7 linked regions of the Ovis aries genome follow. The protein of the gene in region 1 interacts with the protein of each later gene in a pairwise test. Links are inferred from orthologs where the notes say so. Each region holds a gene or a part of one and is shown in the gene's direction. Other genes may lie near its edges.

Region 1 (3,422 bases):
TGTGCCCAATTTTTTTTTTTAAAGGATGCACCTCTGGGACTGTCAACTTTGTTTTTGTTGACAGTCTCAAACAAAACTGCAGATTTGGTTTCTAAATTTGAAAACTGATATACAACCACCAATTGTTACATCTCAAATCAATTGTTATCTGGGAAAATTTTGGGGATCTAGGTTAATTTAAAAAAGAAAAAAAAAGTATCTTGGGAGGGATTTGCATGTGATACTATTCAGTATCTGTGGAAGATGGGGATGTTGTGCTCTAAGAAGGTGAAGTTTCCACAGGAAGAAAAGCGGAGGTTGAAACAGTCATAAAGAAAAGGAAGGTCCTGGAAAAACAGGCGGAAAGACATCCTATGAGTCTATGCTAATATAATCTTTGTGTGAGGGGATTCTAATGAAACAAAATTTACATCAAAATTATCCAATGGAATAGAAAAACCAAAATCAATGACCATTAAAACACTAACAAAGTCATTATTATATTGCCTTCAAGAGAACTTCGATCACACTCGGATTGACAACATTCTGCATTTCTTGTTCAAAACTCTTCCATACGGTAGGAAATCAATGAATTTTTGTTGTTATTCTTCAGAATTCCAATTTGTCCAATTAGTTCTCCTGGTGGCTCAGAGGGTAAACTGTCTGTCTGCACCGCGGGAGACCTGGGTTCAATCCCCTGGAGAAGGAAATGTCAACTCACTCCAATATTTTTGCCTGGAAAAGCCCATGGACATAGGAGCCTGGTAGGCTACGCCCATGGGATCGCAAAGAGTCGGACATGACTAAGCGACTTCTCTTTTTCAGAGTTGACATATTTTCTTGGGCAATCCTGGCTGTTCTCTCAGTTTAAATTCTCACACTGATCTGAAACCTAGTTGACACACCAGCCTAGTTCTTACTCTTGGATTGATCTCTAACTTGATTTTGGATATACCTAATCAAATGCTTCCTAAGAAAGTTCAGTTTCAGCATTTCAGAAGCTTAAATTGCCATCTGTCCCTTAAACTGACTCCTTGTCCAGTGCTCACCCATCTCCCTCCCCTCCTCCTCAAGAACTCCTCCTTAGCCATAACAGGATACCTGGGGAGGGGGTGTGATCACTGAGGCCCATATTCTAGCGGACCCTCTATGCTTACTGGGGGCCTCCTAGCCCCCTCCTGCAGCCCACCAGGAGCCCCGCCCGCCAACTCGACTGCCGGGCCCCAGGCGCGCGGACGCGCAGGCGCATTGGCCCGGCCCGCCGCCGCCCCGCCCTGCCTGGCCTCTGCGGAAGGCGCCGCGCGCAGCAATGCGCACTTCCTCTCCAGGAGTCCGCGGAGGGAAAGCAGACTCGAAGAGCTCTCGGACTCGGCGGCCCTGCTCTTGCGAGACCGAACAGATATGTCCGAACAAAGTAAGGATGTGTGCGACCCCAACTTTGCGGCCGAGGCCTCCAACTCCGAGGTGCACGGCAGCCCCGGCATTACCGGGGGGCCCTCTCCTCCGGGGTCTCAGGCCGCGACACTCACTGAGCCAGAGCGCCCTCCCTTAAGCCCGCCTGATGCCCCTCTGGTCTCGCTGCCTTCCCAGGCTCCAGGCGAAGAGGGAGACCCGAAGGCCCTGCAGCAGGCCGCTGACGAAGGCCGTCCCCACCAGGCCCCGAGCACAAGTCAGCTCAGCCCGGCGCCCCCGGCCCCGGCCCAGCTGGTGCAGAAGGCACACGAGCTCATGTGGTACGTGCTGGTCAAGGACCAGAAGAGGATGATCATCTGGTTCCCAGACATGGTGAAGGATGTCATCGGCAGTTACAAGAAGTGGTGCAGAAGCATCCTTCGGCGCACCAGCCTCATCCTCGCACGCGTGTTCGGGCTGCACCTGAGGCTGACCAGCCTGCACACCATGGAGTTTTCGCTGGTCAAAGCTCTGGAGCCAGAGGAGTTGGACAGGGTCGCTCTGAGCAACCGCATGCCGATGACGGGCCTCCTGCTGATGATCCTGAGCCTCATTTACGTGAAGGGTCGCGGCGCTCGAGAGAGTGCAGTCTGGAACGTGCTGCGCATCTTGGGGCTGAGGCCTTGGAAGAAACACTCCACCTTCGGAGACGTGAGAAAGCTTATCACCGAGGAGTTCGTCCAGCAGAACTACCTGAAGTACCAGCGCGTCCCCCATGTCGAGCCCCCTGAGTACGAGTTCTTCTGGGGCTCCCGTGCCAGCCGCGAAATCACCAAGATGCAGATCATGGAGTTCCTGGCCAGGGTCTTTAAGAAAAACCCCCAGGCCTGGCCTTCCCGCTACAGGGAGGCTCTGGAAGAGGCTAGAGCCCTGCGGGAGGCCCACCCCACTGCCCACTGCCCCCGCAACAGTGTCTCCGAGGACTAGCAAGGTCTGGAGGCAGATGGAAGTTTTCTGCCCCTCACCAGGGTGGAGGAAGGGTGGGAGTGTGGGACGTTAGAGTATTCAGGATCTACAGTGCAGTATTTCACGTGTAACTTTTAAGTTTTCCATACAGTGCTTTTATACCTCTTAATGCAATGTTGTGTTCATTTCAGTAATATTAGTGTATAGGATTCATGCATGGTTGTTTGTAATTAAGCTCAGTTGGTGCTTTCGCTTTTGTGCTACCTTTCTTGAATTTTTTGTACCAGAGACATGCTAAACTTATGAAATACACTGAGGCATTTTCCATATTCTTTTACGTGTGACGGAGGCTGTGTATTGGGGTAAATTGGTCTTGCAGAGTTTGGAAAAACTCCCCAGAAAAGCTGGCCTAACCAAGAGAAAAGTTGACCCCTGTCTTTGTGCTCTGCCTGGGCACGGGAAACATCCCTGTGGAGTTTGGTGATGTGAACTGAAACAGACTCAATGTGGGCACACTTTACTAAACACAGATACAACCTCACCATGAGTAAACTTTAAACATTAAAGATTCTTGTGATACAGTCATTCATGGAAAAAGTGTACTTTATCTTCTTAACAGAATATTATGGGTTTGGAATGGGAATTACAAAGTATACAGATATAACTATTTCATCTAATAGGACGGGGATGTCAGTACTCATCATGACTCATAAATATGTAAAGGGCATAGTTTTATTTTCAGGAAGGAATTCACAAGTTCATATCAAAGCTTTGACAAGTAGAAGTGCAAAAACCAAAACAGGGGTCATAATCACATTATATAGAAATAACAAATGCTGATATTTAGAGTAATTGCCCCTCTTACATTTTCCATATTTTCTAAAAAATAATAGCTGTCTTTTGTGGGCACTAAGAGAGGCCTTGTACTAAACCCTTACATATATTTTCTCTCTTTAATCCTCACAATAGCCTTGTGAAGCAGGCACCGTGGAGGAAATACAGAAATAAAGCAGATAATTAGCTTTCCCTGGATCATAAAGGCTTCCTGGGAGGAGAGGCTTAGTTTTAGGGTTTGGACCCAGACT
Region 2 (3,381 bases), on another chromosome or scaffold:
TGCTTTTTTATAAGTTGAAGGCAATTATGTAAGACGTTAAAAATATAAGATTTTTCCATGAGACTTAAAAGATTCACATAAATGCACGGGAAAAGACTTACAGAACACACAGCAAATTAAGTGTAAAGTCACCTCCTGCGGGGGACAAAAATGGGCCCATGTATTTCTTCTCTGCATATTTTTTAAAGAACACCAATAATATGCTTATTTGTGATTTAACATTTTTTAAATGAGAAAAATAGAAGAGAGGGATGGATGAGTTCTTAATATGCTGATGTATGGCTAAGAACACCTTGTGGTTTTCAGGTGCAGATTTAGCGGTTATTAGCGAAGAGATAGGAGAAGGGAATGGCAACGCACTCCAGTACTCTTGCCTGGCAAATCCCATGGACGGAGGAGCCTGGTAGTCTGCAGTCCATGGGGTCACACAGAGTCGGACACGACTGAAGCGACTTAGCAGCAGCAGCGCAGAGATAAACTTAGTTAAAACCTTGGAGCAGAAGCGACTGCCTGGGGATGGAGGTAAGAGGAGCGGCAGAAAGAGGAGAGCGAGAAAGGAGAGGGGCGAGAGGGGAGGAAGATTAAGGGGTCTTCAGTTCAGTTCAGTCGCTCAGTGGTGTCCGACTCTTTGCGACCCCTGGACTGCAGCACGCCAGGCCTCCCTGTCCATCATCAACTCCCGGAGTTTACTCGAACTCATGTCCATTGAGTCGGTGATGCCATCCAACCATCTCATCCTCTGTCGTCCCCTTCTCCTCTCGCCCTCAATCTTTCCCACCTTCTGTAAGGGGTCTTACAGAAGGCATATAGAGTATTTTCAAGTTTATAGCCTCATAAGCAGCAGAACGGTTAGGTAAGGTGCCAAGCAATGCACAGCCCTAGGTCTGAAATTCGAACGCACGGAGCGCAGACCACCGAGCACTGGGAATGTCCCCCAGAGGGCGATGGGGGGCACTCAGTTCAGTTCAGTCGCTCAGTCGTGTCCTACTCTTTGCGACTCCATGAATCGCAGCACGCCAGGCTCCCCTGTCGATAACCAGAGCCGCGCTCTGAGCAGGAGGCGGTGTTTGGGGGTCGCGCACACGCACGAGGTCACGCAAGCGCACGGCGCTTGCGCAAGCGCACAACCGCACGCCCGCGTATATCCGAGCTTGTGGAAAACGAACGAATTGTGGGGAGGTTGCGCTGCTTGCACTATGTCTGAAATGAACGAGCTGTCCGAGCTCTATGAGGAGAGCAACGATCTGCAGATGGATGTGATTCCTGGTGAGAGTGACCTTCCGCATATGGAGGTAGGCGGCGGGAGCCGGGAGCTATCCCCGAACCCCTCCCGCGCCGGGGCCCCGCCACAACTGGAGGAGGAAGGCCCAATGGAGGAGGAGGCGACCCAGCCAATGGCGGAGCCACAGGGGCCCCGAGGCCTCGCTAGCCGGCCCAGCCCTGGGGAGCAGCCAGGCCAGATCGCGGGCCCTGATTTCGAGAGCGAGGACGAGGGCGAGGAATTCGATGTCTGGGAGGACGACTATGACTATCCTGAAGAGGAGCCGCTCAGTGGTGCGGGCTACAGAGTTTCAGCGGCCCTTGAAGAAGCCAACAAGATGTTTCTGAGAACCTCCAGAGCCAGAGAAGCAGCTCTGGATGGCGGGTTTCAGATGCATTATGAGAAGACCCCGTTTGATCAATTGGCTTTTATCGAAGAGCTTTTTTCACTTATGGTTGTCAATCGTCTGACCGAAGAACTCGGCTGTGATGAGATCATTGACAGAGAGTAGTTAAATGCTGTTAAGAGAGGAGGAAGCTGCTTGAGGAGAGACCCAACATTCCACTGTCTTTTGAGTTCATTCCAAATAGTTCTGTGCCAATGAAAAACTTAATCTTCCCCCCCCAAAAAAAATTTTTTTTTTTTTGCTGAGTAGAATAAGGTAGTGACTGCACAGTTATGAAAAAGAAAGAAAATTGTTAAAGAAGAGTATCTTAGTACTGTTGAAACCTGTTTTCAAGAATGTCCAGAGACACTTATGGCTTTGACTTTGTTGTTTATTCAGAGTAATTTCCTTGCATTGAGGAAGATAATCTTTTCATGTTTCACTGTAAGGAATGGCTTTGCAAGAATAAATTATGACCAAGACAGACTGCCAGTACCAGAGCCCACTGATGATAATTATATGAGAAAAAGTAACTGATGTATCCATTTTAGGACATAAGATGTCTTTGAGTTATTTGGACTGAAAGCATATTGAGAAAACTTTAAAGATTCAATTTTGTGATCTATCCGAGCTGTGGTTAAGGCTAAATTTTAAGTGTAAAATAAATCTACCGAGTATTCTTCAGTATCTCAAAGGATAATCTAGACCCAAAAGAAGTATGTGTCTTGTGTGCTATTAAAATGTGTTTCCAAGAACAACTGAGATTTTGTTTGTACATATATCTTGATCATTTTTAAAGCTACTGTAATCTTTAATTCAAGAAAATTCATTGCCTTGAACATATTTTAAAGTCAAAACTTAAGACGTCCTTAATAAAGTTTCAAATTTAGACTGTAAAATGTACATGAAGGTACAAAGAACACAAACTCTTGAAACATCTGTATATACTAGAGAATTTTCTGTTTCACTTGCTCTCTTTTTTTCATTTAACTTTACAGGCAAAAGACTCTGGTTGAACTTCATAATGTAAGAACTGTTAAATGAACATTGTCCAGTAAAAGGAAAGCCCTACATCTAAAAAAAGACACTATGAACAACCCTTGAAAGTTTTAAAGGGTTTTCTACCCAGAAATCCACCTCACTATCTGAAGTTTCCCTCTGTCTCCTCCTCTAATTAAGCTTGCTTTTGGTTATGCACCAGCATTCAAGATAATAAAGATTTCTTGTTCTCTGTATTTTATTTGTTTGTCTAATTGTATAATACTTTCTCTAATTCTACTTTTTATTTGCTATACTGTTTGATTGTGTGATTGCAACCATTTTATGATTTAAATTTAATGACTTATATAAGGGAAAGTGCTCCAGCTTCAAATACCGGATTACAAATTAATTGGTGTAAATTAAACTTAGTAAATTCCTATAAGAGAATTTGCCAAGCTGGGAAAACCTGCCAAATCAGTAAGCATCTCATGGTGGTTAGTAAGATGCTGAAGTTCTATGAATAATATAATTAGAAGGCTGTGCCCAGTGAAACTGAGTATACCAGCATGTCTTAAGATTAGTAAAAATGTACCAGATGTTTTTGCTGCATTATGGCAGTAAAGGATACATCCACTATAATAGGACAACTCAGAGCCTTACTTATGTTGCGGTCATCCTGTCTTTTAGGGAAGGGGGTTCTTTTCTGTATAATACAGGGCTGACAAGGATGATCATAATTCAGACAAAGCTTGGC
Region 3 (4,132 bases), on another chromosome or scaffold:
CTTTCAGGTGAACAAGGAAGGGATTCAGCCATATGTATGTACATGTATCCACTCTTTCCCAAACCCCGCTCCCCTCCAGGCTGTCACATAACATTAAGTAGAGTTTCATGTGCTACACAGTAGGTCCCTGTTGTAAACCTCCAATCTTTTAAACCACGAAAACTAAGTAATGTTTTAAAGACAAATTCTTACACTTAGCATTCCAGGCCCCATTCTCCTCGCTGTCTGCCACTTCTCAACATGCCCTAGAATGTTACCATTTGCTTTTTCTTAACATTACTTTCACTAATTCACCTTCACATATGTTCTCATGTTATCTCTTCTTGTTGTAAAACCATCCCTATCTCCTTCAAGGTCAATCCCAAATGCCTTTTCCTCCTTACTGCCTTTCTTTCCTCATTCCCAGAGAGGTCTGAGCAGTTCCCTGATATTCTGCAGTACTCTGTATTTTTCTCGTGGCACCTATCATGATTTATCTTTTAGTATAACTGTTTTATCCCTTATTCTGAAGGCAAGGATAACATCTTCAACTTCCCTCTGTAACTCTGCAGCGTCTTACCTATGGGGGCATCTACTATTAGTTGAAATCAAAGTGATTTAGGAAGATAACGTGTGCCACGGTAAGCAGCAGAGAATACGAAGTCAGGACAGTTGGGTTCCTGCTATGCCATTTATTAGACGTGAGGCTTTGGCTAAGTCGCTTAACTTGGCTTGGACAACGGGAATCCTACTACTTGATGGAACACTAAGGGAGATAACTCTACAGAAAACTAATCCATGTTCGTTATTTTCCTTGCAGAGAGTGGATGCAGCCTTTCTATTCAAATCTTGTTTGCAGGACCATCCCTACTTAACCGACCGGAGGTCGGGCCCCCGAAAGGCTGGGAATTCGGGCCCCCATGTTCCCCGGGCCTCCTTCCACGGCAGGGCTCTCAGTTCTCCGCGATGCAGGTGAAGCCGCCGACCTGCGGGGGAGCGGCCTGGAGTCCTATTCTCTCGGGAGACCTCCCTCCTTCCCACTCACTCCGGGAAAGCTCTCCCCTTCCCGGTAACCCAGAAGACCGCGGCGCCGCCGCCTACGTGAGACGTTTGGACCCTGCCCGGCCCCCGTAGCTCCCCTTCTCCAGCAGGTGGTTCTGGTCCTTTCCCCCAACTCTGGGCGCTCACGTCACCGGCGAACCTCTACCCACGCGCCAGCGCCGCAACCAACCGAGAAAATAAACAAACCCCAGCGCGCGGCGGCGGGCGCGCCAGGTCCCTCCCCTGCTCCGCCCCGCGGCTCTCACGCCGCCCCCTCAGCCGGGACTTCCCTCCCGCCCTCGGCTCACGGCCGCGCTCTCTCCGCCCCTCACCGCGGCCCGCAGCCGCGCTCCCTGCCGCCGTCCGCCCGGCGCGACGCCCCGGGGGCCCGTTAGTGCTCGGCGCCCGCTCGCGGGGCCGCCGCGCGACCCCTGCTCGGTGCGAGCCCGCCCCTGCCCCCGACACTTGACCCAGCGCAGTCCCAACGCCCAGTGCGGCCGCCCCGGGAGCCGCGGAGCGGCGGCGGCGGCGGCGGGGGGAGGAGGGAGAGGACGACCGGGCCGGCGGCCGGGGAGGCCCGGTGAGTACGCGGAGGGCGGGCCGCCTCACGGGGGGTCAGCTCCGGCGCCCCTGAGGCAGTGGTGGCGGCCCGGCCGCGCCGCTCCGGGCGCCCCGGCTCGGCAGTTGGGGACTCGGCTTGAGGCGACGGGCCCCGCTGGCCGGAGCCACTGGGCAGAGTGCGCGGGAGGGCCGCTCCTCAGGAAGGCCCTAGGCGCCCAGCTCGGGGGCGGCGGAGAGAGACCCGCGCCGACCCCAGGCCCGGGCGCACCGCCGGTGCCTGCGCCTCCCGAGACCCCGCGGGGGCCGGGCCAGGGGGCGACCGCGGTCGCGGGGCCGCCGAGTGACAGGTGCCGCCGCCCCCTCCCCGCCGCGGGCTTCGCTCTCCCTCCCGGGAAGCCGGGCGCTCAGAAATTTCTGGAGCAACGACCCGACTCGCTGTTTTTCTCCGTTGCAGGTTTTGAAACCGCTTCTTTGCCAGAGTTCGGTCTCTCCCAGCCCTGTTTCTTTCTCGTTTGTACTTTGCGAGAGTAAGTTTGGAAGCATCGGTTAACAGCCTATGGGTGAAATTTGGCTTTCGTTCATGCATGAGGTATAGTAAATTACTTCTTGAATAAAGTGCTCCTCCTTCTCCCGCTAGCTGTTGAAAACAGAGAAGAGTTTTGAATTTTTTTTTTTTTGCAGTTACTGTTTGTAATAAGCAGTCTTCCAGAAATTTTGTCATCTCTAACACTTAGGGGTTTTGGTCGATATTGAACAGTAAATGGCTTATTAAATTGTGTTTTCTCTCCAACTTCTTTTAGATTTTTCATTTTTAACTTTACCTAGAGTCTCCAACTGAGTAAGTGCTATGGCTTTCCTTAGAAGCAGTAATGAGAAAAATCGTCTTTCCTCTACTGGACAGCCACGGAAATATTCTCTACACTTTTCATTATTGTCTGCTTCTTTACATAGTAAACGTGCTTGTAAGTGTAACCTGAATCGTGAGTTTAATAAATTCGACTTGCCGGCTATACGAATATTAAACTTCGTGGCAATTAAAAATATAAAAAATCTGTAGAAATACAGAATTTTTTTTTCTCAACAAGTTCATAACACATAAGCTCGCATTAGTCAGATCCTGATTAATGGAAGATGATGTCCTACTTGTTAACAACAAACTTAGCTATAAGACATCAATCAGGTGGCTTCACTCTATAAAGAGTGAAGAATTCAGAATTGAGCAGGAAGAGATCATTGGGACTAATGAAAATACGTGTGCTTTATTCATGGGAGAATCCCATAGTTCCTCACTCAGTACCTGCGTGGACTTTTTGCTTAGGTGTTTCAATCCACAGAAATTAGATGCTTCAGGTTAGAGACGGGAGACAGTATTGAACTATGAAGGAAAAAAATGTCTGTATTAAGTTCGTTGAAAGCAAAGTTTGGGTATGTTCCTGGCACTTACTGGTTGTGAACCTTAGTTTATACGACGCCAAAATGAAAGATATTGTGTAGTTGCCTTATTTGAGGAACAGAACATGAAAAAAATACAATAAAAAATTTTCACCAGATATTAAGTCACTCATACTCAGTGCCATTTCATTTTATGGCTTTTGTTTTTTAAAACTAAGCTACTTTTCAATGAGACCACACTGTATTCATTTCTTTTTTCACCAGGCTTACTGGTTGGTTATGTTAGTGGAAGATCACTATTGTTTTTATAAAAAGGTATATCTTTGGTTGTTCTTGATTGACGAGCGTATACATATATCAGTTTTGAAGTGCCCTAATTATGGTTCCCTGGACTGAAGGATGGCTACTGCTACCATCTTTCTTGACCCTAGAATGATCATAGTCAAGAAGAATAATATCATAGTGGCACTTTTTCTCAGAACTTTGGTAGAGGAACCCAAGAGGCTCAGCCATTTATGAAACCTGCTTCTTGAAGTTTAGGCTATTCATTTAAAAAACGTATTTACTTAAGCTCCTGGTGTATTCTAGTTCTTTTAAATTAATGCTTTAAAACCAGTTCTGTTTCCTGAATAAATATACCTTCTAAACGAAATTAGTTGTGATGATGAGTTAGTAGAATGGCACTTGGAACTTTGAACTGCTAATAACCACTGTTAACTCACATTTGCATTTTGGGAATTGAGGATTATCTCTAGTGCACTTTGCATTTTGCTACATTCTATTTTAGAGCAGGTCTTTGAATGTGTAGATACCTGTGTACTTGGGGAACGTAAATATTTTTTAAAAAACCAAATTCAATAAACATATCTTTTGTGTGCCAGGTCCTGTGATTTTGTTGGGGATGGAAAGAAGAGGCCCTTGCCTTTCAGGATGTTGAAATCACGATTATAAAGAGCTGGGCACAATAAACATAATTTTAATTAAATCTATCCAGTAATAAAAGTAAATAAAAAGTACAGAAATATTGCAGGGGAGGAAACGATTAAACAGGCAGGTTAGAAGAAGCATTTTAGAGATGCTAGCACCTGAGCAAGAGTTTGAGGAACAAATTCTGGGTAGGCCAAAAAGTTCCTTTAGGTTTTTCTGTAAGATCTTATGG
Region 4 (4,300 bases), on another chromosome or scaffold:
ATTTTCCACAGTTCATTGTGATCCACACAGTCAAAGGCTTTGGCATAGTCAATAAAGCAGAAGTAGATATTTTTCTAGAACTGTCTTGCTTTTTCTATGATCCAGCAGATGTTGGCAATTTGATCTCTGGTTCCTCTGCCTTTTCTAAATCCAGCTTGAACATCTGGGGGTTCACGGTTCACGTATTGTTGAAGTCTGGCTTGGAGAATTTTGACTATTACTTCGTTAGCGTGTGAGATGAGTGCAATGGTGCGGTAGTTTGAGCATTCTTTGGCATTGCCTTCCTTTGGGCTTGGAATGAAAACTGATCTTTTCCAGTCCTGTGGCCACTACTGGGTTTTCCAAATTTGCTGGCATATTGAGTATAGAACTTTCATAGCATTATCTTTTAGGATTTGAAATAGTTCAACTGGAATGCCATCACCTCCACTATTTTGTTCATAGTGATGATTTCACACTCCAGGATGTCTGGCTCTAGGTGAGTGATCACACCATCATGATTATCTGGGTCATGAAGATCTTTTTTGTACAGTTCTTCTGTGTATGCTTGCCACCTCTTCTTAATGTCTTCTGCTTCTGTTAGGTCCCTACCATTTCTGTCCTTTATTGAGCCCGTCTTTGCATGAAATGTTCCCTTGGTATGTCTAATTTTCTTGAAGAGATCTCTGGTCTTTCGCATTCTGTTGTTTTCCTCTATATCTTTGCACTGATCAAGTGGTTAAAGGCAACACCAGAGCAGTTAGGTTTAAAACACATATGCGGTCACCAGGAGTGAATGGTTTTCTTCTACTATCAGGACGAATTGCTTCAGACACCTGGTTTCTGTTTTGAGTGGTTGGTTTAATTGGTTTACTGTGGCGAGGGCAGGGGTGCAGCCAGAGCCGGAAGACCCAGAGCTCAGTCTGAGGCCTGGGAGCCTCCTGTGAGGAGGCTGTTTCCCTCAAGCATGGGGGCAGGAGAAAATAAGAGGGGATGGAAGACTTGGCTGACTCAAACACGCTGTGTAGATGATAAGATCACACAAGGGAAAACCTTGAGATGGTCGCAGGCAGGGGGACGTTCTTCAAAATTTTGTTAAAGCAGCTGTCGAGGTTCTGAGGTTTGGCTCTGTCTGCTTCCCCATCTGCCGTCTTCCAGACTGCCCGTGCGCATGCCGTCTGCTCTTGGCACCAGGTTTGGGAAACCCTGCACCCACGGAGCCAGCCACAGGCACCCAAAATCTGTATTTGTTTCTAAAAAGCACCTTCCAGTGCTCCTCAGACGCTGAAACAAACACTGTCAATCCGGAGGCCGATAAAACTCAGTATCACAGAAACCCAGGGGGAGCAATCACACACACCCTATCACCTTGACCCCTCTTGAATCACGCTCCCCGCAGACCACAGCGCATCAGCCAGCCCAGGCAACAGGGTGCAGGCGCCCTTGCTTCTATCATATTGAGAGCTGAGCAGCACTTCCTGGGCCCCAGGCTTCATCAGCACGTCGGTGGTACTGCTTCCTGTGGCTGACTATCTGTTTCCATTCTGGCAAAGTGTTTGCTCTCTTCTCTCTGCTTTGGGGGTTTGGGGGAGGATGAACTTCTCAAGGAGCCCGTCTCTGCCCTCTTGGCCGTCTCCCCCTCGGAGCCCCGCACGTCCCCGCCACAAGGCAGAGCGTCTGGCGTCCCCCTGAGCCGAGCTGGGGAGCTCCACACCCAGAAGCGCTCTCCCCTCTTGCAGTCAGCATCGCAGCCACAACCAGGTAGAGCCAAACTTGCTGTTTTGTATTTTGGGTCAAGTCAGCCTGACATTTCAGGGATAGACGCAAGGTAGAGTTGGTTGTGGGAGAGAAAGTTCTAGAAAGAAAGACTGGAAGCTTTAGAAAGGGAGAAGTAAAAACCAATAGACTTTTTGTGATGGATTTTGATAAAGATTTAAGAAGATGAAAATTTGAGAGTCGAGTTGTATGTCAAGGAAGGTTCAGAAAATGGAGACCAGGAGGATTTCTGTCATTCTTCTTTACTAAAAAAAAATGCTTATACTAGATGGGATTATATGTAAAAGACAAACCAATTCTGCCTTTTCTCTTGAGAGTCAGCAGTTTAGGAAGAGACAGGAAAAGTGGCAAGCTGACTGGCAAGCTGATGACGACTAAGAGAAGGCCTAGGAGGAGAAGCTGAAGCCAGAGAGGGTCGCAGAATAATGGATGCCACCACGTCAGCACAGTCGGAGCCCGCAGGGAGAACCTCAGAGCCCAGCACTCTGCGGGGAACCCTCGGCAGCCTGAACAAGTGAGTGCCAGGGGCGGTGAGCGCTCCCCTCCCCTGATTTAGAAAGAGGGTCCTGGTCTATCCTGGGGAGCTTCTACCCCAGCAGCCTTGCCACCCCTCACCAGGCTCTCGTTTCCTAAGACCGCTAAACTCTTGGCTCAGAGAGGTTTGCTCAGAACTGCTGGGAGGAAAGGAATAGGTATTGCGAACAGAAAGGAGTTGTTGGGAAGAGAGGAAATATGATAACACACCACTTCCTTAGAGCTGGCTTCCTGGCATGGCTGGGTTTCTCATGCTCAGAGGCCCGCATGGCGGTCCTTGAGCTTTCCTTTTTCAAGTCCCACGGATCACTCCTCAAAGAAACAGAAGCAAAAACCAGTTTCTACTCTGATGGAAACAAACGGCCCACTTTTTACACAGATGTGCTTTTACGTCCTAAACACTTGCCATGAATGAAAATGGAATCACAGATATGATAAAGACACAGCCTTGGATCATAAAACCCCACAGCATTAATCATAGATGTAAATCTTACAGTTAAAACCTTCAATATTATATTAACAAAAAGTCCATCAATACTTGAAACTTTGACACTGAGAGGTATTGATTTCAGTGCAGTGATAAAAGCACAGCTCAACAGCAATAAATTAAAAATCACTGTAGTTTGGGGAGGTAAATGTCATTACCATGATAAACAAATACCTGTCCCCTGCAGGTGGACAAGGTCGTTGATGGGGAAGGAATTCATAAAGTGTCAGAATCCTGCAGCACTCCTCCAATACTATTTCTACATCCATTCATTTGATAATTTATTCATTCATTCATTTAACAAATATCCATCAGGTTCCTACTGAGTGCCAAGCACGGTGGCAGGCACAAGGTGAATAGGACAGACAAGGACAGCCTCCTGGAGGTTACAGTTAAGTGGGAGGGTCAGATACAAACAGATGAACAAAAGCATGGCTAGCATAACATCAGTCAGTCGTAAGCTATGAAGAAAAACCAGGGCAGAGTAAGGGGACTGGAGGACCCAGGAGGGTGTGACTAGGGAGGACCTATCTGAGGAGGTGACATTTCAGAAGAGTCCTAAATTAAATGAGGGGATTGAACTGCGGGAGAGGGAGCAGCGAGACTGAGACAAGACTGTGCTTTGCTGGAAGCAGCATGGAGTCCTGGTCATCAAGGTCAGAGGAAAATAGTAGGAAAGGAGGTCAGAGGCAGGCAAAGGCAGAAGAGAAGAGGCCGTCACATTCTCACCTGTTAGGGACAATGGATGCTATCCCACGTGTGATGAGAAGTCATGGGGGGTTGCAGAGGGGGCACGTGATCTGATTTAACCGTTCAGAGGATCACTCTAGCTCCTGTGTGAACATAGTATGTTGGGGCCAAGAGTGAAAGCAAGGAGCTCATTAGAGAGGTTCTGGCAAAGGTCTGTGTGGAACTAGTGGTGGCTCAGACCGAGGTGGTGGCAATGGAGGAGCAAGAGGTGATGCTTTGGGGTACATGTCCCGGTTGAGCAGATAGAAACTGCTGGTTAACTAGCAGTGGGGTGTGAAAAAGAAAACATTCAAGAATGGCTCCAAGGGTTTTGACCAAGCCATCAGATGACAGGAAACACCAGAGGAACAGGCTTATGGGGGGTGGGGGAGAACAGGAGTTCTGTTTTAAACATTTTTGGTTTGAGATGTCTATTAGGTTACTACATGGAAATGTCCGGTATGAAACTGGGTGAACAAGTCTAGAACTCATAAGGACAAAAACCTTCCCTGATGGATGACCTGGTTTCTAGCATTTGGAGGGGCAAGTCTGCTAGTGATGCACTCTGTAACCTCAACTGGCTGCTTCCTATAGCCAAAACAGAGCTAGCCTGGCCCTGCCCAGGAATTGCGAACAGCCCGGTCCTTACCCAGCGCATCTGCATGGTCAAATTCCACAGCAGAGCAGAGTGTTGCTTGAAGACCAGCCCCACAAGCTGATGCTACAGGGATTATTAAATGCAAGCAACCTGGACTCTTGTCCCAGAGCTGCTGCTTAATTGTAAGTGGATAATCT
Region 5 (4,239 bases), on another chromosome or scaffold:
AATACTGGAGTGGGCTGCCATTCCCATCTCCAGGAGATCTTCCTGATCCAGGGATTGAACCGGTGTCTTCTGCGGCTCCTACATTGCAGGCAGACCCTTTACCGCTGAGCCACTGCACTTACACTACAGCTTAAAATCTTTCAGTGACTCCGTAGTATTGATAAAGTGAAGGCCATTCTCCTTAACCTGATTTATAAGTGCTTCACAGTTTAGCTTCCCTACTTCAAGCCAAATGCTATTTGAACTAGTTGTGGTTCCCCAAAGGACATGTTTTGTTTTTTTCTGCTCCTCTGCACTGTTTATTCCTTGTTCTCTCAAAAATAGTTTTACTGCATTTTTCCTCTAGCAAACGCCTACTTATCCCTCAAATCTCAATTTGCATTACCTCACCTGTAGTGGTCTTTCCCTATCATGCTGAAGGGCAACTGACCATTGTTTGTGTCTTTGGGATTCCCTCTATCCTAGTCCTCATCTTTAACACATCTTCAGATGAACTCTAATCACTTTATTTACTTAAATGTGATTGTCTGCGCCATTTCCAATATATCATAAAATCCTTGTTTTGGGTAACTGGAACACAGTGAGGGCTAAATAAATATTGGCTAAATGATTAGCTGCACACACATGATCCTAATTTCTTGGCTATTTTATTCACTTCTACTTAAATTTCTTACTTAGTTTATGAATCCTAAGCTTCCCCTCAACTATCCTTTCTCTAACAATTTTTCCCATTTTGAAATCTCTCAGCATTTAGATAATAATCTTGTGCCAAATTGCATTTGCCTTTCGGTAGTGTCTTGAAATCTTTCTTTAACCTTTCATCATATGCAGGATCAGAATCTTCTCAAGGCAAGAAGGTGACTCTTAATTTAAATCTTAACGCGCAGAAACAGAAACACTCAAAAGAGTCCATACCGGCATGTGGACTGTAAGGCCCAGAGCACGCGCACTAGGCCCATTTTTGCTTTTCGACTCCTCCTTCCCGCGCCCTCCCCCCGCCTCCCGCCCCGGAGCGTGCGCACCAAAAAGACAAAGGTGGAGAAAGTGACCAAGCAATCATTCAGGCGCATGCCCGTCCCTAACTTCTCCAAGCCTGGTGGAGCGCACAGCCGTGAAGTGGGTGTGGCCTGACCAAGGAGCATCAGAAGCCCAATCCGATTGAGTGAGCTCGGCCCCTCCCTCCCCATGATTGGTTAGCTCTCTGTGTTGTGGGGCGGGGAAAGGCAGAGACTGGGCGGTGGAATGGTGGGGTGGCGAAGAAAGAGAGTCAGTTTGGTTCTGCGCAAGCGTAAATCAGCGACCAGGAGGGGGCGTGAGAGAGGCAAGAGGAGTGTGGAAGCCCTGCTGCGCTGGCCAGCGAGAGCTGGGTCGCCAGCCTTGACGCGTGCGCCGTGGCCCTCGGGGCCCGCGCGCGGCGGGCGGGTGCCCGGTGCGTCTGCGCAGTAGGTGGCGGCGGCGGCAGAGGGAGGAGGAGGCCGTGTAGAGGCAGCGGCAGCAGTGGGTCCCGGGACTGAGGCTGCAGCGGGGGCGGCGGCGGGCGGAAGCTGAGGTGACGAAGGCAGCGGCGGCGGCGGCCGTTTTCCTCACGGTGGCGGAGACCAAGGCGGCGGCGGCGGACGGGGAGCGGCCCGGCCCCGGCCCCCTGCTCGTTGGCTGTGGCAGGGCCGCCGTGGGGCCGGCCCGGCTCCCGCCCCCCGCGGCTCCCCCTCCAGCTCCTCCTCCAGGGAGACGCCGGGGACCTGGCCCGGCCCGTACTCAGAGCGCTGCTGCAGCCGCCGCCGGGGGAGTCGGAGGCGGTGGCGGCGCCATGGGCGGCCTGGCTTCGGGGGGGGATGTGGAGCCGGGACTGCCCGTCGAGGTGCGCGGCTCCAACGGGGCCTTCTACAAGGTGAGGCGGCGCGCCGGCCAGGGACGCGGTCTTCAGCCCCCTCCCTCCAGCCAGAACGGGGAAGAGTGGGGTGGGATCGAGGTTCTGGAGCTAGCCCTGACCCTTAGAACCTTGGACCCACGATCCCACCCGCGGCCCTCCTTGGGGGAGACTTCTGGAAGTTAACCCCTTATTTTTGGCCCCTCTGTTACACCTGCTTTTACCCGCATCTCTGGGAATGAACATCAGGGCATTATTGTGCTTGGATCAGCGCCCCCGCAGCCCCCAGGAGAGACCCCATTTACCCTAGCGTCTTATTGACTTTTCCTGTCTCCTAATAGAAGGCATACCTTGGATCTTAATCACCTCTTCCCCACAGTCCAAGCACATGGAGAATTCTCTTTATTCTCCCCTATTACCCCCTTGGGAAAGCCGTCCCATATTAGATCCTTTCATCTTCCTCGGAGAGGCCTCTGCCTACTGGCTCTGAAAGACTCACTCCACTTTCATCTTATATTTCTGTTCCCACACCAAGGAGAAACGGTCAGAAGCTGTTTATGACATTTAGTATCTTTGACCTCAGGAACTCTGGGCTGTATCAGTCTAGTTGCCTCCTAGCCATAAGGTGGCATCTTTTCACAAGTCTCTCTCACCCCACCCCTTTATTTCCAAGGCTAGTTGGTCTGCTCTTCTACTGGAGGATGGTTTTGTATTTGTCATCTCACGTTGACCTCATACATTCAAATCATTCATATAGTTTCTTCATTTTGAGGAGTGTGAGCTTCATACTCCTACTCTCTATCTAAAATGAGATCTCATGAGGATTACTTCTGTTTATCTTTTTCTTAAGGATTTCCACTTCTAGAAGACTTTTGGTCAACCTGCCCAATTTGGAAACCCAATAGTCTATTTATTTATTTTTTTTAAAGGAGAAGAGGACTGTCTTTACATTTTTAATATTCATTTATTTGGCTGTGCAGCATTCAGGATCTTAGTTTCTGAACCAGGAATCAAACCCATGCCCCCTGCATTGGGAATGCAGAGTCTTACCCACTGGACTGCCAGGGAAGTCCCCTGAATCTATTTTTTAGGACACTTTTTTCCCCATTCATTTATATTAAGCTAGAGGGAGACCCCTCTTGCCTCTCAGGAATTTTTCTTTTGCCACTGTTGTTATGTTGTTAGTTTGAACCGCTTTGTGCTTTATGCCTGGGATTGTCTCAGAGACTTTCCTGCTTCCTGACTTGTTCTCTCATTTTGCCCTCATCCATTATTTGTGAGGACAAGAGCCCCCTTTCCTCCACTTCCCCTCAAGCCTTTCCTCCCGTAGTGGACCTCTCCACCTTGGTATCTTGGAAATGACTTTCCTTCCCTGTGAAGTCGTATCTTGCTATAACTGGAAAGGGTCTCATATTAGCCCTTGGAGTAGGTTTCTGCCCCAGCTTCAATTGATAAGTTCAGTGGTCATCTTTGACCCACTCTAAATGCCTATTCATTCCTGCCTGACTTCCCCTCACCAGATTTCTTTATATTCTTCATTGCCTATGCGTAACCTCATCTGTCTTAATTTCTCAATTTAAGTCTGTGGCTTTTTATCCTAGTATTTCTGCATAATCCCCCAAAACTACCTATTCCATGACCCAGCTAACATGGAAGAAGGAAGCTCCCAATTTACCCCTTCTTTCATTCTTTTTCTACATACTTTCCTAACTCATGGGACTTTTTTCTCTAGCATGCCTCCATACCATTTGTTTTCTTTGGCAAAGTCTCTTAATTCCTTTCTGATTCTGATAGAGTACATTTGTCTCTTATATCCTTTTCCCTCAGGCTTGCTTACCTTTGTTGAAATACCCTTTCTCATAAGATTTTAACCTAATTTCCCACAATATCCTGTCCTTCATCAGGGTCCTTCCCAGCCCCAAGAAAGTGCTTCTTAAATTGAGTCTGAGATCAAGATATAATGTTTGCTTTTGTTCCAGGAAGCATGGGAAAGATCAGTATCCAGTTTGAATTAACCGTGTGAGACTGCTGGGAAGGGGCATGTTTCCCTTTCCACATATAAGTGTCAAGTAGAAAGTCTGTCTCTGAATCTTTCTCTTTTCTCCTGTGGGCTATATGGCAGTGATAGACTTGATTCAGTGAATCAAAGATAGGATGCTTTGAATCAGAGAATAGAATTTGGAGTTCAACTAAAAGCCAGGTAATATGGAGTTTGTATTTTGGCCACTTTAGCATTTTCTGCTCCTTGTCTCATTTGAACAACAAAACATCCTTAAATTCAGTAATCTTTCTTAACTTTCAGTGCCATATACTTACTGAATCTGACCTTGCTGCTGATTTAATATTCATGACTCAGCAGACTTCAGTGTGGT
Region 6 (3,934 bases), on another chromosome or scaffold:
GTGTTCCCTGGAAGAAGTGATATTTATATGGGGCCTAGGGATCTCATTCTTGACTGCGTCTTAGTGTTTTTTTTTCCCCTGATGGGTCAGTCCCCACCAGATGGCAGGCAAGTTCATAGAAATCATCAAGCCTTTTGCATCTCTGCCCTTAGTGCTGGCACAGAGCCTGGCATAGAGGAGGGGACAGTACTGCTCAAATCAGCTGATCTGAGCAATGAGAAATGGCTGATGGAGAGGTCCCAGGGCCTCCGGATTAAATGCATTTTCATGCTCAGCATACTCACCTCCTCCCTTTGTGAGATCTAACATGGAATTAATAGTGAAAATTCCACATCATGTTGTAAATGCTTGTACCTGTTTCTCTCTTCCCTTTTTCACTAAACTGTGAGTTCCTTAGCGCCAAGAGTCAAGAATGGGGCTTAGAGCCGGCTCTCAAAACGTTTGTTGAACGAGTGAATCAGTTCACGCAGAAGTTGTGCATAGGGTACTGGAGTTTCCAGCTATAGGAGGGCTTGTAGAAAAGCCCAGAGCTGTATTGGTCCAGATATCCCTCCCCGTTTTCTGACAGCTCCCTTTTGCTTGGGCTCTGGGTGAGAGGAATAGGGTGGGCACACGATTTGAAAGTGAACGGCTTTGGTGACGGAAGTTGAGGGAGAAGTGGCCGGAGCTTGGAGGTGGGCCTGAGAACCGAGAAGAGAGGAGGGGCAGTTTCTAGAGATCTGGCCGAGAGTGTCGGGGCCACAGGTGAGAGTTATCGGGGTCACGTGGGGTCTGCTGACGTTGAGATATGCTTAATGGACATTCTGTCCTCAACTTACAGGCATCGGCCAGATGGGGGTGCGTCGGGGAGGGGGTGGGGCCACCACTCCTCGGACAGGGGCCGTCCCCTCTGAGGGCGGGGAGTGCGAACGCGCCTGGCACCGCCCCGACAAAGCCTGCGCGCGCCCCGACCCCCGATTGGTCGTGCTCCCTCGCGCCGCCGCCCCGTCCCGCCCTCCGCCGCCGGACCGGCGCGCTGCAGCCAATGGGTGACGTCGCCGTCGCCTCCGTCACAGTCCGGGCAGCCAATGGTGGTAGCGCTCGGCGGCTCGTGGCTCTTTCGCGGCAAAAAGGATTTGGCGCGTAAAAGTGGCCGGGACTTTGCAGGCAGCGGCGGCCGGGGGCGGAGCGGGATCCGGAGCGGGATCTAGCCCTCGCCTCGGCCTGCCGCCATGGGCCCGCGCCGCCGCCGCCGACTGCCACCCGGGCCGCGCGGGCCGTGAGCGCCATGGCCGTGGCCGGGGCCCCCGCGGGCGGCCCTTGCGCGCCGGCGCTGGAGGCCTTGCTCGGGGCCGGCGCGCTGCGGCTGCTCGACTCCTCGCAGATCGTCATCATCTCCACCGCGCAGGACGCCAGCGCCCCGCCGGCCCCCGCCGGCCCCGCCGCACCGGCCGCCGGCCCCCGGGACCCTGACCTGCTGCTCTTCGCCACGCCGCAGGCGCCCCGGCCCACACCCAGCGCGCCGCGCCCCGCGCTCGGCCGCCCGCCGGTACGGACATCAGGGACACTGGGCTGAGTGCGCTGCCTTGGACCCCTGCGCAGACCCGGGCGGGGCGCAATGTTTGGCCCGGCGGCAGCGGGGGCGGGGGAGGGTGGGCTGAGGCGTCCAGGCTGGGCGGTGCCGAGCCTGGGTTGGGCCTCGGGGCTCCGCCCTGGGGTGCGGGGTGACCTCGGGCCAGTCCTTGTTTGCTGCTCTGTGCTGTGGGCCTCAGCTTCCTCGCCGGAGCAGACTCAATGATAATAATGGTCCACGTGTATTCAGCTGTCGCTGACTGCATGCCAGGCCTTTGGCTGACTTCAAGGCAGCTAAAACTCACATCCATGCTGTGAGCTCGGTGTTGTCACTGTGCCCATCTGAACTGTGCCCAGAGACGGGAAGTGGCTTGCCCCCTGGTCACAAGGCTGCAAGTGGGATTTAAACTGAGGCCTTCTGGCTTCAGACCATAACTTGTGGCTGGGTGGTGGGCATGGCTGCTTGGGGAGGTCAAAGTGGGGTGTTCTGGGACCAGTCCGTAGAAGAGCCATTGAGGAGACCCTCCTTCCTGCCTCTGGGACTGCCAGGTGCAGGCCTGGCCCTCCGGGCCTCTGGGGACAGGCTGCCTGGCTGGGAGGCCTTCTCTGCAGGGGCGGGGGTAACTGGGCCAGCTGCTGATCCCCTCCCTCTGCCTGTCCTTCCATCTGCCACCCTCCACCCTCCCAGGCCCTGGTTGCCATGGAACCTCATTAATCAGGCAGGCAGACCCCCGGGCCCCAGTGGAAGTCCTGGGTGGGCTAGGCCTCTGGGAGCTGGTGAGGAGGCCCCCAGTACCAGGAGAGAGTAAATGCCCCAGGGATATCCCTTGATAAAGTGCTCCCTGCACAGCGAGAGGCTAAAGACAGTTGAGACTAGGGGGCCCAGAGAGGTGTCTGAATTAGGAGGTGGGGGGAAGGAGGGGGCGGAGGCCTAGAGCTTGGTCCTGTGGGCTGCAGGACAGGGCGTGGAGACCAGTTTGACTGGTGCAGCCTGTGGGTAAAGTTAGGGCATGGATGGGCAGGCAGGATGGGGTCTCAGCACAGTTGGCTGAGCAAGTTGAGGCAGGGAGGCAGGGCCCAGGGCAAGGAGGTGGAAGCCCAGCTGCTGATGGAGGCCTGGGTAGCAGCTGGTCCCTGAGACATCCCAACAAGGTTCCCCCGACCCCTTTGGCCCCCTGCCCAGTACATCCTTCCTTCCGGAATCACTGAGATGCTAATAATAACAATAGGAGGCACCATTGTTTTGAGACTGTTTTGTGAGTTAGGCCATGTGCCAAGCACTTTACCCAATTAACTCATTTAACCCTGTCAACAGCTTTCCCGTTTTACAGATAGGGAAGCTGAGGCTTAGAGATGTTAGAACCTTCCCTGGTGAGTCAGCTCATGAGTGGTGGGACCAGACCAGATTTCCTGAGTGGTTAACTGCTGGCATGCCTTACTTCCTGGAGATGCTAATAGAGATTGTAGGAAGCCCAGGGTCCCTTCCTCCAAATGAGTGAGAGGGAGGGAAGTTGCACAGGGTGGGTCCCCTGATTGGTCTCCTATACCCCAGCAACCTGTCCCTGCAGGTACCAGCTTGGAGCCTGATCGAGTAGCCTCCATTTAGCTGATGGACAGGTGCTTAGGCCCAGGTCCTGCCCTTGGGCAATGGAGCTTCAGGCTTAGAGGGACAGCCAGGGACTGGGATCAGGAAGTTTGCCCTCTGCTCCACACCCAGGGTGTCAGGGGCAGCCTCACTGGGTCTGAGCATTCCATTCATTCAGCAGTTGTTAGTGAGTGCCTCTGAGGTTCTAGGCACAGGCACGTAAAGAGCCTCTGCCGTCACAGTACTTAAGGGCTAGTACGTGTTTTCTGCCGTGAGCAGGAGTAGGGCCCAGTACCACCTTGCTGCTGTAGTTCAGAAACATGGGCCCAGCTTTTGCTGTGCAACACCTCCTAACATTGTACCTGTGAGTAGCCACTGGCTATCTGAGCTGTGGCCTCCACTCACCCTCTGCACTAGCATTTGTTTGGGGGCAGTCCTTGAAACAAGCTACAGGCTCAGCTTCTGCACAAGTGAGCATTCATTGAGTACCTCCTGCCTACAAGGCTCTGTGCAATTCAACCATTCCTCCTGGCTCTTCCGGTCCACATCTCCCCTGTTGTCATGGCTCTTAAAAAACAAACTGGATGTAATGCATATTTACTATGGAAGAGATGCGAAAGTTGAGGGGGACAAGATCCCCAGCCCCATCCATTTTTTCTTTTTTCTCTTCCTGTGTTCCGATAGCACATCATCCCCACTTTAGAGACAAGGCAGCAATTCCTCATGGTCCTCACCCTGATACCAAGGTTACTCTTGAAATGGATTCTATAATAATACAAACTGAAGCAGAGAAAGTGG
Region 7 (3,500 bases), on another chromosome or scaffold:
CACTGAAGTGGGTTGCCATTTCCTTCTCCAATGCATGAAAGTGAAAAGTGAAAGTGAAGTCGCTCAGTCGTGTCTGACTCTTCACGACCCCATGGACTGCAGCCCACCAGGCTCCTGTCCATAAGATTTTCCAGGCCAGAGTGGGGTGCCATTGCCTTCTCTGTTAGGATCTTACTAGCATTCTTTTAATCAACTAGTTAAGCAGAATTGCCCAGTCTTACCTAAGAGGTCTTTAACGTAAAGTGTTAAGACAAAACAGTAAAGTAGTATCTGGTTATCTTACATTAAAAATACTTAATTGCTAATGCAAAGCAAAAGAACATGGGGAATGAGCACTTCGCTTTCTCCAGCAGGAGGAAGGGGGCCGTTGTGTTCACATGCCTAGAACATGTGAAGGAGTCTATGGAATGGCACGCTTCGATAGTCTGGATGATGTGAACCTGCATTATCCCAGAGTGGTTAACTTCCATTGTAAAGCTGAGAAGACAGATCTATCTGCTGGACACTTAAGGGCGTAGCAGACAGTGCTCTAAGGGCGTTTCGATGTGGGATATTACTTACTTAAGCAAGTGAGGTACTTTTCTGCTTGCAAGTAAGCCTCCTGAAGTTCAGAGGACACTGGCAGTATCAAGAGGTAGGCAGACTTACAATACAAGCCAGGCTTTTGGAAGCCAGGCTTTTGGGTAATTTACAGACTTATCAGATGATACTCAGCTAATCATTCAAACCAGTGGAAGGCCATGGCGCAAGTAACTCTAACAGGTAGTCTGGGATTTTTCACCTGGCTCTCAGCACTGTAGCGTATGTTTTGTTTGCATTAGGATCAGTTTTAGAATGTTATTCAGCACACACTAAACAGCTTCCAGTGTCTGACCTCAGGAGAATTACTGCAGATCGGTGTGCTCTAATTAAGTCAACAAGAACTCACACCATTATCTGTTAGATGTTATCCTCAGAGACCGTATAATTCAGCTTAGAGAAATCTATAAAACAGAAAATAATCTCAGACCATCATCTTCCAATTAAGGGCTAAATATTGTGAGAGACCAAAAATGCTAGAGGGTTTTATTGTCACATGTAAGCATTACTGTTAGGAACTGACAGAGTAAATCTAGACCATCGTTTCACCACGTATTTTTTCTGCAGCCGATAGACGTTTTTATATTGCCCACTCAGTTTCTTTTTCTCCCCTCCCTGCCACCGCCCCGCCCCCCACACACACACAATCTTTTTCTCTCTCTGTTCATCTTGAACACCTTTCAGAAGCAGCTGCTTTGAAACCCTTGTCATCTTGAATGTAGCCTCCAGTGTGAATGGGGCACCTTTTACTGATTCTTCTTGTGTATCATCTTGTATTTTTAGCAACCAGAATGGTGGGGAATGACAAAGAGCCAGCGACAGACCTTTCCTCACCTCGAATAGTGGGTTTCCACCAACTCTGTCTTAACGTTCTTCAGGCCACAAAGACATGGCTTTTCCACTGGAGTTTTAGCTCCCTTGCCAATGTATTTGACTGGGGCCTGCTCTAGGTTGAGCACTATTATTTCTTAAAAAGGTGACTCAACCTCTTACCATTCCATTCTTCCAGGTGTCTATAATCCCTTGAAAAACGCTGCTTTTGTTCATTCTTCATAAACTAGAAATACAGATATGATTAAAAGACCTGAAGGCACTAGTTTATCTGCAGAAATGGTACTAAGATCAAAACTAGCTCCTTCAAGTTACTGAAGGCTTGAGAGCTTATCGATTTACCTCCTGTGGTGGTCCTGTGTGTCCACCAGAGGGCAGGAGCAGCAAGGCTGCTCTGCTGCAAGAAAGCTCTGCTGCAGCCACCTGAAAACATCCCAGTACAGCCGTTGGGTTTCATGGCCTCGCTTTCTGTGGATGAGTGTTTCTGTGCATTGCACAGATTTTACTGAGTTGTGGGTCCAGCCCCTTCAAGCTAAATGCCAGTGTGGGAGAGCTGGTAAGAAATTGCACGGGAAGTTACGCGAGGAGTTATGTAGTCCTCATGGCACCTGGCCGTGTCAGGAGAGCAGGATGGGGTGGGGACCTTGAGCCGGACGCGTGAGCAGCCTGTGTGTTGGGCTTGTGGGGTCAGGTGGAATGACGGGGGTGCAGATTTTGTTTGGGGAGGAGTCCCTTGGGTTAAAAGAAACGTGGGAAGATGTGGCATTTACAGCAACACAGACACAAGTCCTGAAGGGCCTCAGCCTGGCTGGGGTCTTCAGGAAGAGGACGACAGGGGATTCTGGTCACAGTCCTGTCCGAATTGAGAGGAGGGTCGTCTGGGGAGGTGCTCTGTAGACTTGGTGACCAGATAAGGCTGGGGAAAAATCATTTTAGGGTGGGGACTAGAGTCTAGAACCTCTAGAACCTGACACGTTTTGAAAAGCCAGTGTCCCAGAGACCCTGGTTAAGAACCCCCGGCTTGGGCGGTTCTTTGAGGACCTGCTCAGAAGCTCGGGAACAGGGGGCCACGGCCCCTGGGTGTGGGTCAGTCCTGTGGGAGGCCGGCTGTGGGGAGCTGGGCTCCGGCCAGCCTCACTCTCTGCGTCTTGTCATCTGGGGTCGGGCTTCATCTCTTCACTTTCTCCAGACACCTTCCGGCTTCTTGGGCATCTCTTCAGCTTGGGATAACTTTGGACCACAGATTTCATTTCAGTAAGGAATGTGGATTGTCTGTCTGGTTTTGAGTTTCAGGAGCAGGATTTTTAACAGAGATCTGTAGCTAGAAGCTGAAGATGGGGAAAGTTTAACTTTCCGACTATATTTTGTAGGCGCGCAGGGGTCTGTGGCCCAGAGTGAAGAAGCCCTGCTCTGGAGGGTGGGACCAAGGGAAATCAGTATGAGACCCGTAACGCAGCTGCCGAGGTCCAGGCTCCCGTGTTCACCTTGACATGACTGCTGGCTGGGAGGACGGGGAGCTTGCCCAGGTGGAGCCAGTGCTGGGACCCTGGGCTGAGATGAGTGGCCCAGCTTCAGAGTCTTGGCCGAACGGGGCTCCCCGGGTGCGTGAGACTCCGCAGGAGGCTGTGCAGCGTGGTGAACCACCAGTCCAGCGTGGAGATCGGCTTCCAGCGTCTCTGAGCCTCCCTGTCAGCGGAGGAGTGGTTCATCTGCATCCAGGTTTTGACATTATCCTCTTCTGCTTTTCAGGAAAAAAGCTTGTAAATACTTTGAGCAAGGCAAAGGGACCTGTCCATTTGGAAACAAATGCCTTTACCGTCATGCTTACCCTGACGGGCGGCTGGCAGAGCCTGAGAAACCACGGAAACAGCTCAGCTCCGAAGGCACCGTGCGGGTGAGGACTCTGCCCACATGTGGGCATTGCTGGGGCCACTCCTGGCCTCTTCAGGGCGTTGGCCACAGGGATGCCAGTGGAGTCTCAGCGACTCTGCTTTCGCATTGCGGTTAGCAATAACCAAGCATGTCTGCTGGCTGTCTTTGCAGTTCCTTAACTCCGTGCGGCTCTGGGATTTCATCGAAAACCGAGAGAG

Evidence for each region.
Region 2: the proteins of NDN (region 1) and EID1 interact in binary tests that used the Homo sapiens proteins (3 or more experiments, as listed by UniProt). The link is inferred for Ovis aries from reciprocal best matches to the Homo sapiens genes NDN and EID1.
Region 3: the proteins of NDN (region 1) and GKAP1 interact in a two-hybrid assay, tested with the Homo sapiens proteins (2 studies listed by BioGRID and IntAct). The link is inferred for Ovis aries from reciprocal best matches to the Homo sapiens genes NDN and GKAP1.
Region 4: the proteins of NDN (region 1) and LAX1 interact in a two-hybrid assay, tested with the Homo sapiens proteins (2 studies listed by BioGRID and IntAct). The link is inferred for Ovis aries from reciprocal best matches to the Homo sapiens genes NDN and LAX1.
Region 5: the proteins of NDN (region 1) and FXR2 interact in a two-hybrid assay, tested with the Homo sapiens proteins (2 studies listed by BioGRID and IntAct). The link is inferred for Ovis aries from reciprocal best matches to the Homo sapiens genes NDN and FXR2.
Region 6: the proteins of NDN (region 1) and E2F1 interact in a two-hybrid assay, tested with the Homo sapiens proteins (2 studies listed by BioGRID). The link is inferred for Ovis aries from reciprocal best matches to the Homo sapiens genes NDN and E2F1.
Region 7: the proteins of NDN (region 1) and MKRN2 interact in a two-hybrid assay, tested with the Homo sapiens proteins (2 studies listed by BioGRID and IntAct). The link is inferred for Ovis aries from reciprocal best matches to the Homo sapiens genes NDN and MKRN2.

What each region holds. Positions count from the first base shown.
Region 1 is NC_056071.1:620,230-623,651, reverse strand, and holds NDN (necdin), read left to right. Parts: upstream 1-1,292; 5' UTR 1,293-1,380; coding exon 1,381-2,358; 3' UTR 2,359-2,922; downstream 2,923-3,422. UniProt on the Homo sapiens protein: Growth suppressor that facilitates the entry of the cell into cell cycle arrest.
Region 2 is NC_056060.1:59,480,019-59,483,399, reverse strand, and holds EID1 (EP300-interacting inhibitor of differentiation 1), read left to right. Parts: upstream 1-1,153; 5' UTR 1,154-1,196; coding exon 1,197-1,772; 3' UTR 1,773-2,881; downstream 2,882-3,381. UniProt on the Homo sapiens protein: Interacts with RB1 and EP300 and acts as a repressor of MYOD1 transactivation. Inhibits EP300 and CBP histone acetyltransferase activity.
Region 3 is NC_056055.1:35,911,045-35,915,176, forward strand, and holds the start of GKAP1 (G kinase-anchoring protein 1), read left to right. Parts: upstream 1-1,332; 5' UTR 1,333-1,458; intron 1,459-1,510; exon of another isoform or gene 1,511-1,600; intron 1,601-2,035; 5' UTR 2,036-2,170; intron 2,171-4,132. UniProt on the Homo sapiens protein: Regulates insulin-dependent IRS1 tyrosine phosphorylation in adipocytes by modulating the availability of IRS1 to IR tyrosine kinase. Its association with IRS1 is required for insulin-induced translocation of SLC2A4 to the cell membrane.
Region 4 is NC_056065.1:1,326,322-1,330,621, forward strand, and holds the start of LAX1 (lymphocyte transmembrane adapter 1), read left to right. Parts: upstream 1-1,500; 5' UTR 1,501-1,740; intron 1,741-2,070; exon of another isoform or gene 2,071-2,076; 5' UTR 2,077-2,180; coding exon 2,181-2,269; intron 2,270-4,300. UniProt on the Homo sapiens protein: Negatively regulates TCR (T-cell antigen receptor)-mediated signaling in T-cells and BCR (B-cell antigen receptor)-mediated signaling in B-cells.
Region 5 is NC_056064.1:27,152,552-27,156,790, reverse strand, and holds the start of FXR2 (RNA-binding protein FXR2), read left to right. Parts: upstream 1-1,439; 5' UTR 1,440-1,807; coding exon 1,808-1,888; intron 1,889-4,239. UniProt on the Homo sapiens protein: mRNA-binding protein that acts as a regulator of mRNAs translation and/or stability, and which is required for adult hippocampal neurogenesis. Specifically binds to AU-rich elements (AREs) in the 3'-UTR of target mRNAs.
Region 6 is NC_056066.1:63,140,864-63,144,797, reverse strand, and holds the start of E2F1 (transcription factor E2F1), read left to right. Parts: upstream 1-1,134; 5' UTR 1,135-1,267; coding exon 1,268-1,528; intron 1,529-3,934. UniProt on the Homo sapiens protein: Transcription activator that binds DNA cooperatively with DP proteins through the E2 recognition site, 5'-TTTC[CG]CGC-3' found in the promoter region of a number of genes whose products are involved in cell cycle regulation or in DNA replication.
Region 7 is NC_056072.1:56,485,697-56,489,196, reverse strand, and holds part of MKRN2 (E3 ubiquitin-protein ligase makorin-2), read left to right. Parts: intron 1-3,159; coding exon 3,160-3,304; intron 3,305-3,453; coding exon 3,454-3,500. UniProt on the Homo sapiens protein: E3 ubiquitin ligase catalyzing the covalent attachment of ubiquitin moieties onto substrate proteins.